3 linked regions of the Macaca fascicularis genome follow. The protein of the gene in region 3 interacts with the protein of the main gene of each other region in a pairwise test. Links are inferred from orthologs where the notes say so. Each region holds a gene or a part of one and is shown on either strand. Other genes may lie near its edges.

Region 1 (4,111 bases), on a different chromosome or scaffold from region 3:
TCCTTACCTGTTGTGATAAGACCTGGTGCACTGGGAAAACCCAGATCTCCTTTCCTGGGCCCGTCTAAAGCAACCACCTTATCCGACGTGTTCCTGGTGTCACTGCTGAAAGTCCCTTATCCCCAGAAACTCCTCACTCCCAGGCAAACTGGGTGTGGGGGAGTGTTGGTCACCCCAGCCTGGTCCCTGCATCCCATGGGCTTGAAGACACAGCAGCCTGGAGCCAGGCCACAGCTGAGCAGGCATCGGCCCGTCTAACAGAAAGAAAATCTGAGGCTCAGCCAGGCATGGTGCCTCAACCTTGTACTCCTAGCACTTTGGAAGGCCAAGGTAGGAGGATGACTTGAAGCCAGGGGTTCAAGACCAGCCTGGGCAACATAGTGAGACCCCGTCTCTACAAAAAAATTAAACATTAGTCAGGTATGCTGGTGCATGCCTGTCATCCCAGCTACTCAGGAGGCTGAGGGCAGAGGATGGCTTGAGCCCAGGTCAAGGCTGCAGTGAGCTATGATCACACCACTGCACTCCAGCCTGGGTGACAGAGTAAGACCCTGTCTCTAAGAAAAAAAAAAAAGACATATTTTTTTTAATGAAATAAAAGAAAACCTGAGGCTCCGAGAGATCTTGTCTCAGCTGAGGCCACGCAGGTAGAACGGGGAGGAGCAGAGTTTGCTTACTGTGTATGGCAGGCAGCATAACGCCTCCTTCATATTTGCTAGAGTAAATGTATTAAACAACAACAAAAATGACATATGCAGAAGCCCCTCCCGTGGAGGGATGACTTCCTCGTCTCACTGGCTGCTGACCTCGGTCCTCCTCAGCCTGTGTCCGCTGGCTCTAACGGTGCCATCACACCGATCAGCAAGCAAGGCCCAGAGCGGCGGGGTCGCTCCCAGGCCCCACCTTCCACCTCTCCTCTCGCCGGAAGGCAAAAAAAACAGTCCCACAGTAGAGGGCCAGGGCAGGGCCCCGACAGAGGGGTCTCCAGTGGCCACATCCTACTTGTCTCAACACCTGCCTAACGGAGTAGGTCAGAGACTGCTCGTTTTGCCTCTTTGGCCCTAAAACCAGGCTGCTTCTGGCCCAGGCGCCATCTAGACCCCATGTGGGCCGCATCTAGGCTGTGTGGAGGAGCAGGCTGCAGGGAGCCCAGACTCCAGCTCCAGAGACCCCGCCGTGTGGCCGTCCTGAGCGACTCAGGAAAGATCCTCGGGGGGCTCCACGTTGCTGGGAACCTTGCACTGAGAATCCTGAAACTGGGAATCAGAGCAGGCAGGATCTTGGAATGTTAAAATTCAAAAGACTGAGCATCTCAGGGTTTGGGTCAAGTAGTCACCAAGAGAAGGAAAGCCCCCAGATAACTGAAGCACAGGCAGCAGATCTGAGTCTGGGTAGACAGGACACACCTCGCCCTGCCCTGACCTGGAGTCACATCAAACCAGGTCAATCCCAGCTCTGTCCCTTAGAAGCTGTGTGACCTTGGGCAACTCACCTCACCTCTCTGAGTTGTGGGTTCCTTAGCTGGAATACAAGGACAACGGTAGCCCCCGCTTTTTATGGAGTTGTTGTGGGTTGAAGAGGGCCAGGGAAATGCCAAGTCCTCCCAGAAGCCTTTCCAGATTGCCCCAGGCATGATTAGTCACCTCCCGTGTTTACATCATTTCTGCTGTTCATTTACTTTCTAAAAATGTATTCACATTGACTCCTAAACTTCCAGAATACAAGAACTACAGCTGTCTTGCTGATCAGGCCACAGGCCCAGGATTTAGCCGACAGGCAGGCACACACCTCTCGAAATGCTTGTCCCGGTGGCTGGCAGCCACAGTGGCTGTCTGCTCTGCTGCCCCCACCAGACCAGAAGTTTTCGGAGGGCAGGAGCTCTCCTGGCATCCCCAGGGGCCTCACTAAATGCCTCTGCAGAAGAGGACATGTGACCGAGGCAGGGGGACGTGCATAGCACCGCACAGCACGTGCTGTCTTCAGACTTTTCACACCACGTTAGACAGCTGACACCTTCCAACCTCTTTCCATCATCTACTCCAACTCACATCAGGGAGCCACTGTAGACGTGGTTTCCCTAATTATCATCCCCCTCATGACATGTTTATTTATTTATTTACTTTTAGAGATAGGGTCTGGCTCAGTCGCCCAGGCTGGAGTACAGTGGTGCAATCACAGCTCACTGCAGCCTTGAACTCCTGGACTCAAGCGATCCTCCAAGTAGCTAGGACTACAGGTGCGTGCCACCAGACCCAGCTACTTTTAAATTTTTTGTAGAGATGGGTTTTCACCGTGTTGCCCAGGTTGGTGTCAAACTCCTGGGCTCAAGAAATCCAGCTGCTTCAGCCTCCCAAAGTGCTAGGATTTACAGGCCTGAGCCACCGTCACCAGCCCTCCTCACAAAACGTTAATAGCACAGATATGCTGTATATCTGTTTAACGTTTGGTGGCTTACAAACCACAGTGTTAGTAGAGATTTTTTGTTACACCCCACTCCCCCCACCTCCAGCCCGCCAAGAACCAAGTTACACCTGTTGGAACCCAAATTTGCTAGCCTGACACAGAGGCAGTAAGGTACTTGGCACAAATGAATTCAATGAGACCTACATGTGGTTAGTTGAACAACTGTCTTTAAACAGTTTTCTAAAGACCCCTGTGCAGACAGACAGATTAACAAACACAGACCCCCAACACACACACACCGGCCATCTTATCTCCTTCTAGACCACTGGCCCCCACTGCCATCTTCCTGTTCAAGTTCAGCAAAGGAGATCGAGACACAGGCCTAGGGTCACCACGAACTCCACGAGCATCCTGCAGCCAGAAGCCACGCCGCCAGAGGCAGCTACTTCTCCCCTGCGAGCCTCAGTTTTCTCATCTGGAAAAGGGGCACCATCCACCCTCCAAGGTTCTCAGATGATTGATTCTGCAGCTCCTCCGAATGCCCCGCTCTGGGCCCAGCCCGGTAGCCCAGCCCTTCCGCTGAGGTTTAACTCCCCTGGCTGCTGGCCAAGCCTCTTGAGGGAGGCATCAACCGCCCAGGGTGCCGCCTCCCTAGGCAACCCCAGAGGAAGAGACTCTGGGGCCGTCCGAGGGCCTTGGAGCCACCTTCTGAAGCTCCGGCCCACTGAAGGGCCTGGCTCTGGGGGCCTCAAAGTCAGAGGTGGAAAAAAAAGGAAAACAGAAGAAAGAGGAAAGAGGAAGAGAATTCCAGGCAACAGAAGCCCAGATACAGACACTATGGTGTGTGTGTGAATGTGTATACAGCAGGGCGCAACCAGCCCCCACCTTTTCCTTTTAGTGTTCTGAAAGTATCTCAAATACAAACTAATAAGAGTATTCTAATTTTTTTTCTTTTTTTTTGAGACGGGGTCTCACTCTGCCACCCAGGTTGGAGTGCAGTGGCACAATCTTGGCTCACTGCAACCTCCCCCTCCCAGGTTCAAGTGATCCTCCCACTTCAGCCTCCCAAGTAGCTGAGACCACAGGCATACACCACTATGCCTAGCTAAGGTTTTGTATTTTTGGTAGAGACGAGGTTTCACCATGTTGCCCAGCTTGGTCTCGAACTCCTGAGCTCAGGCGATCCACCTGCCTCGGTCTCCCAAAGTGCTGGGATTACAGGTGTGAGCCACTGCACCCAGCCAAGTATTCTAAGTATTATTATTGTTTTCCCTTTTGCTAACAATAGTATCCTAATTCTAATATTTTAATAGTTTGCCACAGACAAGTGTCATTTTCTCAGTCTTATAAAAAGTGGGAAGAATGCATCTTTCTCTGAAAATCACTTTTTTTTTTTTTTTTTTTGAGACGGAGTCTTGCTCTGTTGCCCAGGCTGGAGTGCAGTGGCCGGATCTCAGCTCACTGCAAACTCCGCCTCCCGGGTTCACGCCATTCTCCTGCCTCAGCCTCCCGAGTAGCTGGGACTACAGGCGCCCGCCACCTCGCCCGGCTAGTTTTTTTGTATTTTTTAGTAGAGACGGGGTTTCACCATGTTAGCCAGGATGGTCTCGATCTCCTGACCTCGTGATCTGCCCGTCTCGGCCTCCTAGAGTGCTGGGATTACAGGCTTGAGCCACCGCGCCCGGCCCTGAAAATCACTTTTTTATGC
Region 2 (4,398 bases), on a different chromosome or scaffold from region 3:
GAAGACTGCTTGAGGCCAGGCATTCAAGGTTCCCGAGAGCTATGATCATGCCACCGTACTGCAACTTGGGCGAGAGTGAGACCTTGTCTCTTCAAAAAAAAAAAATTGTGCAGTTCCCACTTCCCTGCCCCGCTGCTGATAAGCCTCTATTTCTCATTTGAGGCAGACCTCAAATGTCCTCTTTTTTTTTTTTTTTTTCCAAGACGGAGTCTTGCTCAGTTGCCCAGGCTAGAGTGCGGTGGCGCGATCTGGGTTCACTGCAAGCTCCGCCTCCCGGGTTCACGCCATTCTCCTGCCTCAGCCTCCCGAGTAGCTGGGACTACAGGTGCCCGCTACTACGCCTGGCTAATTTTTTTTTTTGTATTTTTTGTAGAGACGGGGTTTCACCATGTTAGCCAGGATGGTCTCGATCTCCTGACCTCATGATCCGCCCGTCTCGGCCTCCCAAAATGCTGGGATTACAGGCGTGAGCCACCACGCCCGGCCTTTTTTTTTTTTTCCCCCAGAGATAGGGTCCCATTCTGTCACCCAGCCTGGAGTGCAGTGATGCAATCATAGCTCACTGCAGCCTCAACCTCCTGGGCTCAAGCCATCCTCCTGCCTCAGCCTCCTGCAGAGCTGGGACTATAGATGCACACCAGCGCACCTGGCTCTCCACTGATTTCTAATGACTAAAAGGACGACTTTGATCCTTTTCTCGGTCCCTTGCAACAAAAAAATAACGAAACCTACAGGAATAAGGGCCTACATACCTGAGGCTTCTTAATGCATCTGTATGGTGGGGATGGGAGAGAGCAGGAGTGTCTACAGAAGGCACCTTTGTCCTCTTTCCCTTGGAGGATCCTAAATGATCCTCCCCAATTTGCCGTTGAGAAAGACCAGGCCCTTCTCCAGCTGCCTCTCCCGGGCCTCAGGGTCCTCTAGCTTCTGATGTTTTCGGAATTCACGGCGGATGGAGGCAAAGTAGAAGTCTCGATCAGTGTAGCGAAGCTGTCGGCCCTGGCGCAACAGAGCCCGATAGAGACTCAGCACCGCTGCTCGGCTCCACCGGGCCATGGGGGACTGGCAGGGGCTGGGTGTCACACTATAAACAGAAGGAAAGACATACAAGCCTAGTATCAGAATTAATAACAAAAGGACCTGTAGAGACTATAAGACATTTTTAATCCAAGTTCCAGAGACCCCCTAGATCACCTTATGACTTAATGGCAAGACTAGGACTAGAGACCCCGGCCTCTGGATGCCCATTCTGGAAACATACAGGTTGTGGTTCACCAGGGCTCAAATCCTGGCCCTGCCACTTACGTGCCATATGACTTTGGGCAAAGGACTGAATCCCCACTGAGCACCAGCGTCCTCACTTACAAAATGGAGATTAGGATATTATGGCAATAGTACCTACCACATAGGGTTATATTTTGAGAACTGTGCATGTAAAGAACGGTAATACAACTTCACCACAGGGGGTGATCTAGGAGGGCTGAAGACAAGCACTCAGCCATACTTAAATCCTGGCATCAGCACTTGCGAGCTGCACTACCGTGGGCAAGTCTCCTAACCTCTCTGTGCCTGTCTCAGTTCCTCATCTATAAAGTGAGGATAAAAATCTTATTTTGCCCATATGGTTGGCATAAGCACTAGATGAATTTAATGTATGTGAACATGTTTAGAACAGCACTTGGCACACACTAAGCACTCTATCAACAGCAGCTGTTATTAGTACCACCTAGCCAGGTTTGTAGATGCTCAATAAACAATTACATTTAAGTATAAACTGCCACTGCCTTCCTTCAGTAACAATAAACCCTTACACAAGCGTATCTGTAAAGTGCTTTGTTGCCCATTGTCACATTTACACTAACAATCTAGGAGGTGGTCAGGGTTCTTAGTAACAGTAAATGCTTATTGCACTATATTGCACTATACACAATGTACAATGTTTGAAGCATGTCTCACGTAACAACTCATTCTGTCAGCTACCCTAGGGTCAACATTACCCCATTTTAAGTGGAGGAAACAATCTCCCAGAGGGAAGTAACTTGCCCGCGGGCCCACAACTGTCAAGGGGAGGGCTGCACTCCTGACCCCAACTCTGCCTGCCTCTGGAATGAGTTACCCTTTGCTGGAGCCGGACCATGTGTACAGCACTTCTGGGTGCTCCGCGAACTTTCCTAGCACAGCGCTTGGCACATACAAGGGGCTCAAAATTATGTTTAACGAAGGAGAGAATTTCACAACGTCCCTATGTGGAAAAAATGATCACCTCCGTTTCAGAAATAAAGAAATGACACCGAGTGGGGGAAGTATTTGGCTGGAAAAAAAGATCGGACTTTGGGCCCAAAGTCCGCTAGCCCTTAGCCTCCGGCCTTGCTAACTTCCTGCGCAAGCCTGAGCAAGCCACCATCTCTGTCCATTTTTCCTCAACTGTTTAAGAGCTCCCTCGGCCTTCCGATGTAGAAAATCAACAGAAGTGTTTGATGAGGCAAAAGCCGACTGTCACGGCGAGGGCTGTAACTACAAGGTCGCTAGGAGAGTGGGCGGCTGAGCCCCAGCCCGTCTGCACTTCCCCAACCCTGGGGGCCGGGCCGGGGTGCGGAGGCCCAGAGGCCAGGGCAGCCCTGCTCCGGGACCCGGGAAGTCTCCGAGGTTGGGGCGGGGCGGGGCCGCCAAGGGGCCTCCCAGGGGAAAGCCCAGGACGGGATGGGGCGAGACCACCGGCTGCAGGCCGGTCTCCTGGGTCCGGGCCGCATGCGAGGCGCCGGCAGCAGCCTGAGAGGAGGCGCCGCAACCTCCCGGCCACCCAGCAGCCGCCGGTCCTCATTCCTCCCCTCACTCACCCGCAGGCCGCGCGCGCTACCACTCCGCAGGACTCGCCTCCGGCCGGGTACCTCTCCCCGGGTCACCCATCAACATGGCCCCTTCACTTCCGGGACACGACCTTGCGCACTGAGCTACGAAGGGGCTGAAGGGAGCACGAGGGCGGGCGGAGGCGGAGGGACTTCCGGTCTCCTCCAAGCTCTCTCTCGGGCCCCGCCCCCTGCGCATGATTCCGCCCCCCAATCCTGAGCCCCGCCTCCGTGTGTGACCTCACCAAGGGACGGGCCTGCAGAGGCCACTCGCGCCCTGTCCCTAGAGGATTCCGCTGTCTGGGTCCGGCTGTGGGTACCGGGGTGGTCCCGATGCTGGCAGAAGGTTAGAGGGCAGGAGGTACCCTCGCTGTCCAACGAGGCTGCCGCACCCGCTAGGCCCCTCACCTGCTGGCAGCCCCTTAGCTTGTCCGGGGTGCCTGGCCAGCCTCCTGTACCGTCTGCTGATCTCTGGCTGGGGTCCTGGGGTACCTGAGGGAATTCTAACACTAATATTTAGAGCTCCTCCAAACCTATTTTCTCACATCGACTTCTTTTCGACTTCTTTCCTCCATGCTGTTCCTACTCCCCAGGCCGCGTGGCTTCTAGCAAACTCCTACCCTTCCTTCAAAGTGTACCTCAAATGTCCCCCTTCACTGGGAAATCTCTCCCAGCCCCTTCCTCGCTCCCTCTAATACACTCATGTGTCTTCTTTAGGCCCCACGGAAATGTCTGCACATCTTTTTTTTTTTTTGAGACGGAGTCTCGCTCTGTCGCCCAAGCTGGAGTGCAGTGGCGCGATCCTGGCTCACTGCAAGCTCCGCCTCCTGGGTTCACGCCATTCTCCTGCCTCAGCCTCCCGAGTAGCTGGGACTACAGGCGCCCGCCACCGCGCCCGGCTAATTTTTTGTATTTTTAGTAGAGACGGGGTTTCACCGTGGTCTTAATCTCCTGACCTCGTGATCCGCCCGCCTCGGCCTCCCAAAGTGCTGGGATTACAGGCGTGAGCCACCGCGCCCGGCCGTCTGCACATCTTAAGGCTCATAATCTGTTCAACAACAAAACGTATTTATTGGCGCCTACCATTTGCCAGGCACTGTAATTTATCCATTTGCTTCTCTGTCTCTCACTGGATTTGAGGACCCAGGTGGTTTCTCTGTGGAAGTCCCCTCTCCCAAGTGCCTCCCTCCGTACCTGGCTCAGCCAAGCCCAAGGCCTGGGGCTTTGGAGTCCGGGGCCACAGGGCCACTGCTAGCTCCTAGTTCCAGTTCCACCACTTAGGGACAGCTGCCCTCTGCCAAGTTTCCTAACCTCTCCCAGCCTTGGGGCTGTGGTGAGGATTAAAAGGTAATATCTACCAGGAGAGGGGTGGGCAATTACAGAATAGTCAGGCTATCAAAAGGACAAGAACCAGGAGAAGAACATGGCAGGGAAGAGCATTTCAGGCCTGCCCCCAGGTATGCCCTTAAGCTCAATGTGGTCTAGGAGCAGCAGGACGAAGGCCAGTGCTTTCGCAGCCAGGTGAGCGGGAGCTGGGAAAGAGGCCCTTATC
Region 3 (2,937 bases):
ACTAAAAATACAAAAAATTAGCCGGGCGTGGTTGTGGGCGCCTGTACTCCCAGCTACTCGGGAGGCTGAGGCAGGAGAATGGCGTGAACCCGGGAAGCGGAGCTTGCAGTGAGCCGAGATCGCGCCACTGCACTCCAGCCTGGGCGACAGAGTGAGACTCCGTCTCAAAAAAAAAAAAAAAAAAAAAAAAAAAGAATTGACTATCTCTTAATTTCTTTAGTTCTTTATCTCATCTATTTTACTGCTCATTTTTCACATTTCTAAGTAAATACTTATTCCACTGCTGTTATTATCCCAATTCACAAAATAGAATGGATTTCCCAATCTGAATGAAACACAAGACTCTTACTACTCAACTATATACACGGCACTATGTGTGACTACTGTCATTCATAAACTTGGATGCTGAAGTTCATTCAACCATTCCTTAAAAGGAACACTTGAACAATTCCAAAAGAGAACAAAGATAAATCTCCAAGTCATCCAATAGAACAGAAACCTACTACTGAGAATGCTGACTGCTCTCTTCAAACAGAGTGAAGAATGGGCCTCACATCACACGAGGCAGGGAAAGCTGCTGGACACGGTCCTTGAAGGTGCACTAGCCCAGCCCCCCTCCCACTGGCCTTGGCTGCAACTCATGTTCAGACTCCCTCTTCATCCTCTCTCAAAGCTGCTCCCTCCTGTCTCAAAGCTGCTTCACGCAGGGATGGGAAGAAAAAGCGAACTCTTGCACTGACCTTGATCACATACTCAAGGACTTTCACATAGCTGGTTTCAGCGAGGGCCCTTGGACCCCACAGGAACTCATAGCGTGCAGGATCACTGTAGGGCACCTGCCGGTACTCCAGGTACTTTTCCTGCACCAAATCTTGGGTGAGCAGCTTCCTGGGCTCCCCATAGGCACTGTGCTCCCTCCCATCATACACCTCCATCACATTCAGCTCTTCCCAGATTTCCTCCTCAGGAGCACGGCCGCCCTCCATTGCAATCATAACCAGGATGATTATCAGGAAGCCTGTCTTGGGCATGATCTGATTATCACCCAGCAGGCCGTCATAGGAGAGCCCCAGGCAGGTGACAAGGACATAGGAGTGGCCGGTGGAGTCTGCTTCCTTCACGTCAATGCCAAAGACCAGTTGCAAGGACTCAGAGGCTTTGCCGAAGATCACAGGAAAGCAGTGCTTGTAATTTTTGATGACTCTCTCCAGCATTTCTGCCTTTGTGACCGGCTCCCTGGCTCGATACTTGAGGAGCAGAAAACGAACCAAATCAGCCACCTTCTTAGTGAGTACTGCTCGGAACAAGGACTCCAGGACACGCGAGGTGCTTGGCCCTTCTTCTTCATGGCTGCTGGAACTCTCATTGGGTTGCCTCCAGCGAGGGAAGTTGATGGTAGTGGGAAAGGCGGAGGCTCCCTGAGGAGTCTGGGGGGGATCTGTTGACCCAGCAGTAGGCACCTCCTCCAGGGTGCCCAGGACCAGAGGAGAGGAGGAGGAGGCGGCAGCCTGCACACACACCAGCCCCAGGGCCTCTTGTTGGGCCTCAAGGGCTTCCTCAGGCTTGTAGTGCAGACTCCTCTGCTCAAGAGACATGATGACTCTGGTCAGGGCAGCAGGCAGGAGTGTACAGGAGCTGGGCAATGAAGACCCACGGGCCTGGAGAGAGAGGGAGTGTGTGAGAGGCCTCAGCTGAGAACTGAACCTTGGAGACTCTAATAAAGGCCTACTTACAGATCTTCTCCTTGGTGCTCCTCTGTGGCCTCCAGGGAATCCTGTCCTCCAGGTTGGCCTGTCCCCTGAAAACCTGAAGGAGGAAGTGAGAGGGCACTCAGGGTACAGCCGGCCAGCAGAGGTCGATTCTACAGGACTGACGGTAGGGAGGTGAGGCCAGACTCTGTGGAGTTCCATGTGTCCTGCGGCAGGCGGGGCCCTTGGTGTGCATTCAGGGCAAACGTTGACTGCTGGCACAGCCTGTGCGTCCTCTGCTCTGTGATCTGAGGACACTGTCTCAAACCAAGGCCTCACTGCCTGGTTCTTGGAGCTCCTGGAAGAGGAATCCACGGGCCCTCAGGGTGCAGACTGCAAGCACAGCCCTGGGCCCTCAGTGCTATTAGGAGGGTGGGCTGGACTCTGTGACATCCCCACTCTCATGCGGTGGATGATCCCCTCTGTTCTCACGCAGGGCCCTTGCATTTTTCCTGGCAGGACCTGGATCCCACCCTTTTGCTGGTCTGAGAAATCCAAATAAAGAGCTCACATCCATGATAAGGAACAGAAAGACAGGAGGGGACCCACATCTGGCCACTCGGGCCTAGGTCCTCGGGGAAGGACAGCAAGAGATATCAAAATTCATTGGAATTAATGTGTCCTGGGTGAGGCGCCTGTTTGGTCCTCACCTTGACTCCTGGCAGGGCCTGGGACTCTCCCTCTACTGACCTGAGTGAAGCCTTCTCAGATCAAGGCCTCCCCCTCCCTGACATCAATGATCCCAAGATAAGAGAGGGACCTTGGCAGACGACCCAGCCCATGCTCTCTGGGGTGACAGCAGGGGCAGAGCTGATTTCTGTGCGGTCTCTGTCAGTGTTCTGGCCCTGGGGTATCCTCAATCCTCCCTCATGTTCCTCACCCAAATGCATGGCAGATCGTAGGACTGCTCTGTCTTTAGACCAGATGGGGGTCCCTATGTTGACCCGAGTCACCCTCTGAGAACAAGGTCCTCACCTCTCTGAGATCTGGAAACAGGAGTAAGAAGATGCCACACCCTGGGTGAAGTGTCCAGGGCTGACCCCTTTGGTTCTGGGGTGAGGATTCCAATAGCCTTGTCTGGCTCACTCATCTTTATTCCTGCCAAAGCCTGTGCTTCCTCAACCCCCAATTCCCTGAGATGGGTAGACATCCCCCCTTTACCCCAAGACCCCATCTCCTTGCGGGCTCC

Evidence for each region. The genes of interacting proteins can lie anywhere in the genome.
Region 1: the proteins of melanoma-associated antigen 1 (region 3) and SELPLG interact in a two-hybrid assay, tested with the Homo sapiens proteins (2 studies listed by BioGRID). The two-hybrid records come from large-scale screens. The link is inferred for Macaca fascicularis from reciprocal best matches to the Homo sapiens genes MAGEA1 and SELPLG.
Region 2: the proteins of melanoma-associated antigen 1 (region 3) and MIEF1 interact in binary tests that used the Homo sapiens proteins (3 or more experiments, as listed by UniProt). The two-hybrid records come from large-scale screens. The link is inferred for Macaca fascicularis from reciprocal best matches to the Homo sapiens genes MAGEA1 and MIEF1.

Annotation. Positions count from the first base shown.
Region 1 is NC_088385.1:115,471,683-115,475,793, forward strand, and holds the start of SELPLG (P-selectin glycoprotein ligand 1), read right to left. Parts: upstream 2,929-4,111; 5' UTR 2,746-2,928; coding exon 2,703-2,745; intron 1-2,702. UniProt on the Homo sapiens protein: A SLe(x)-type proteoglycan, which through high affinity, calcium-dependent interactions with E-, P- and L-selectins, mediates rapid rolling of leukocytes over vascular surfaces during the initial steps in inflammation.
Region 2 is NC_088384.1:12,142,621-12,147,018, forward strand, and holds the start of MIEF1 (mitochondrial dynamics protein MIEF1), read right to left. Parts: upstream 2,929-4,398; 5' UTR 2,838-2,928; intron 1,085-2,837; 5' UTR 1,057-1,084; coding exon of another isoform or gene 844-1,056; 5' UTR 753-843; intron 1-752. Other genes in the region: MIURF (mitochondrial ribosome and complex I assembly factor AltMIEF1), read right to left, coding at 844-1,056. UniProt on the Homo sapiens protein: Mitochondrial outer membrane protein which regulates mitochondrial fission/fusion dynamics.
Region 3 is NC_088395.1:159,218,399-159,221,335, reverse strand, and holds melanoma-associated antigen 1, read right to left. Parts: upstream 1,628-2,937; 5' UTR 1,596-1,627; coding exon 645-1,595; downstream 1-644.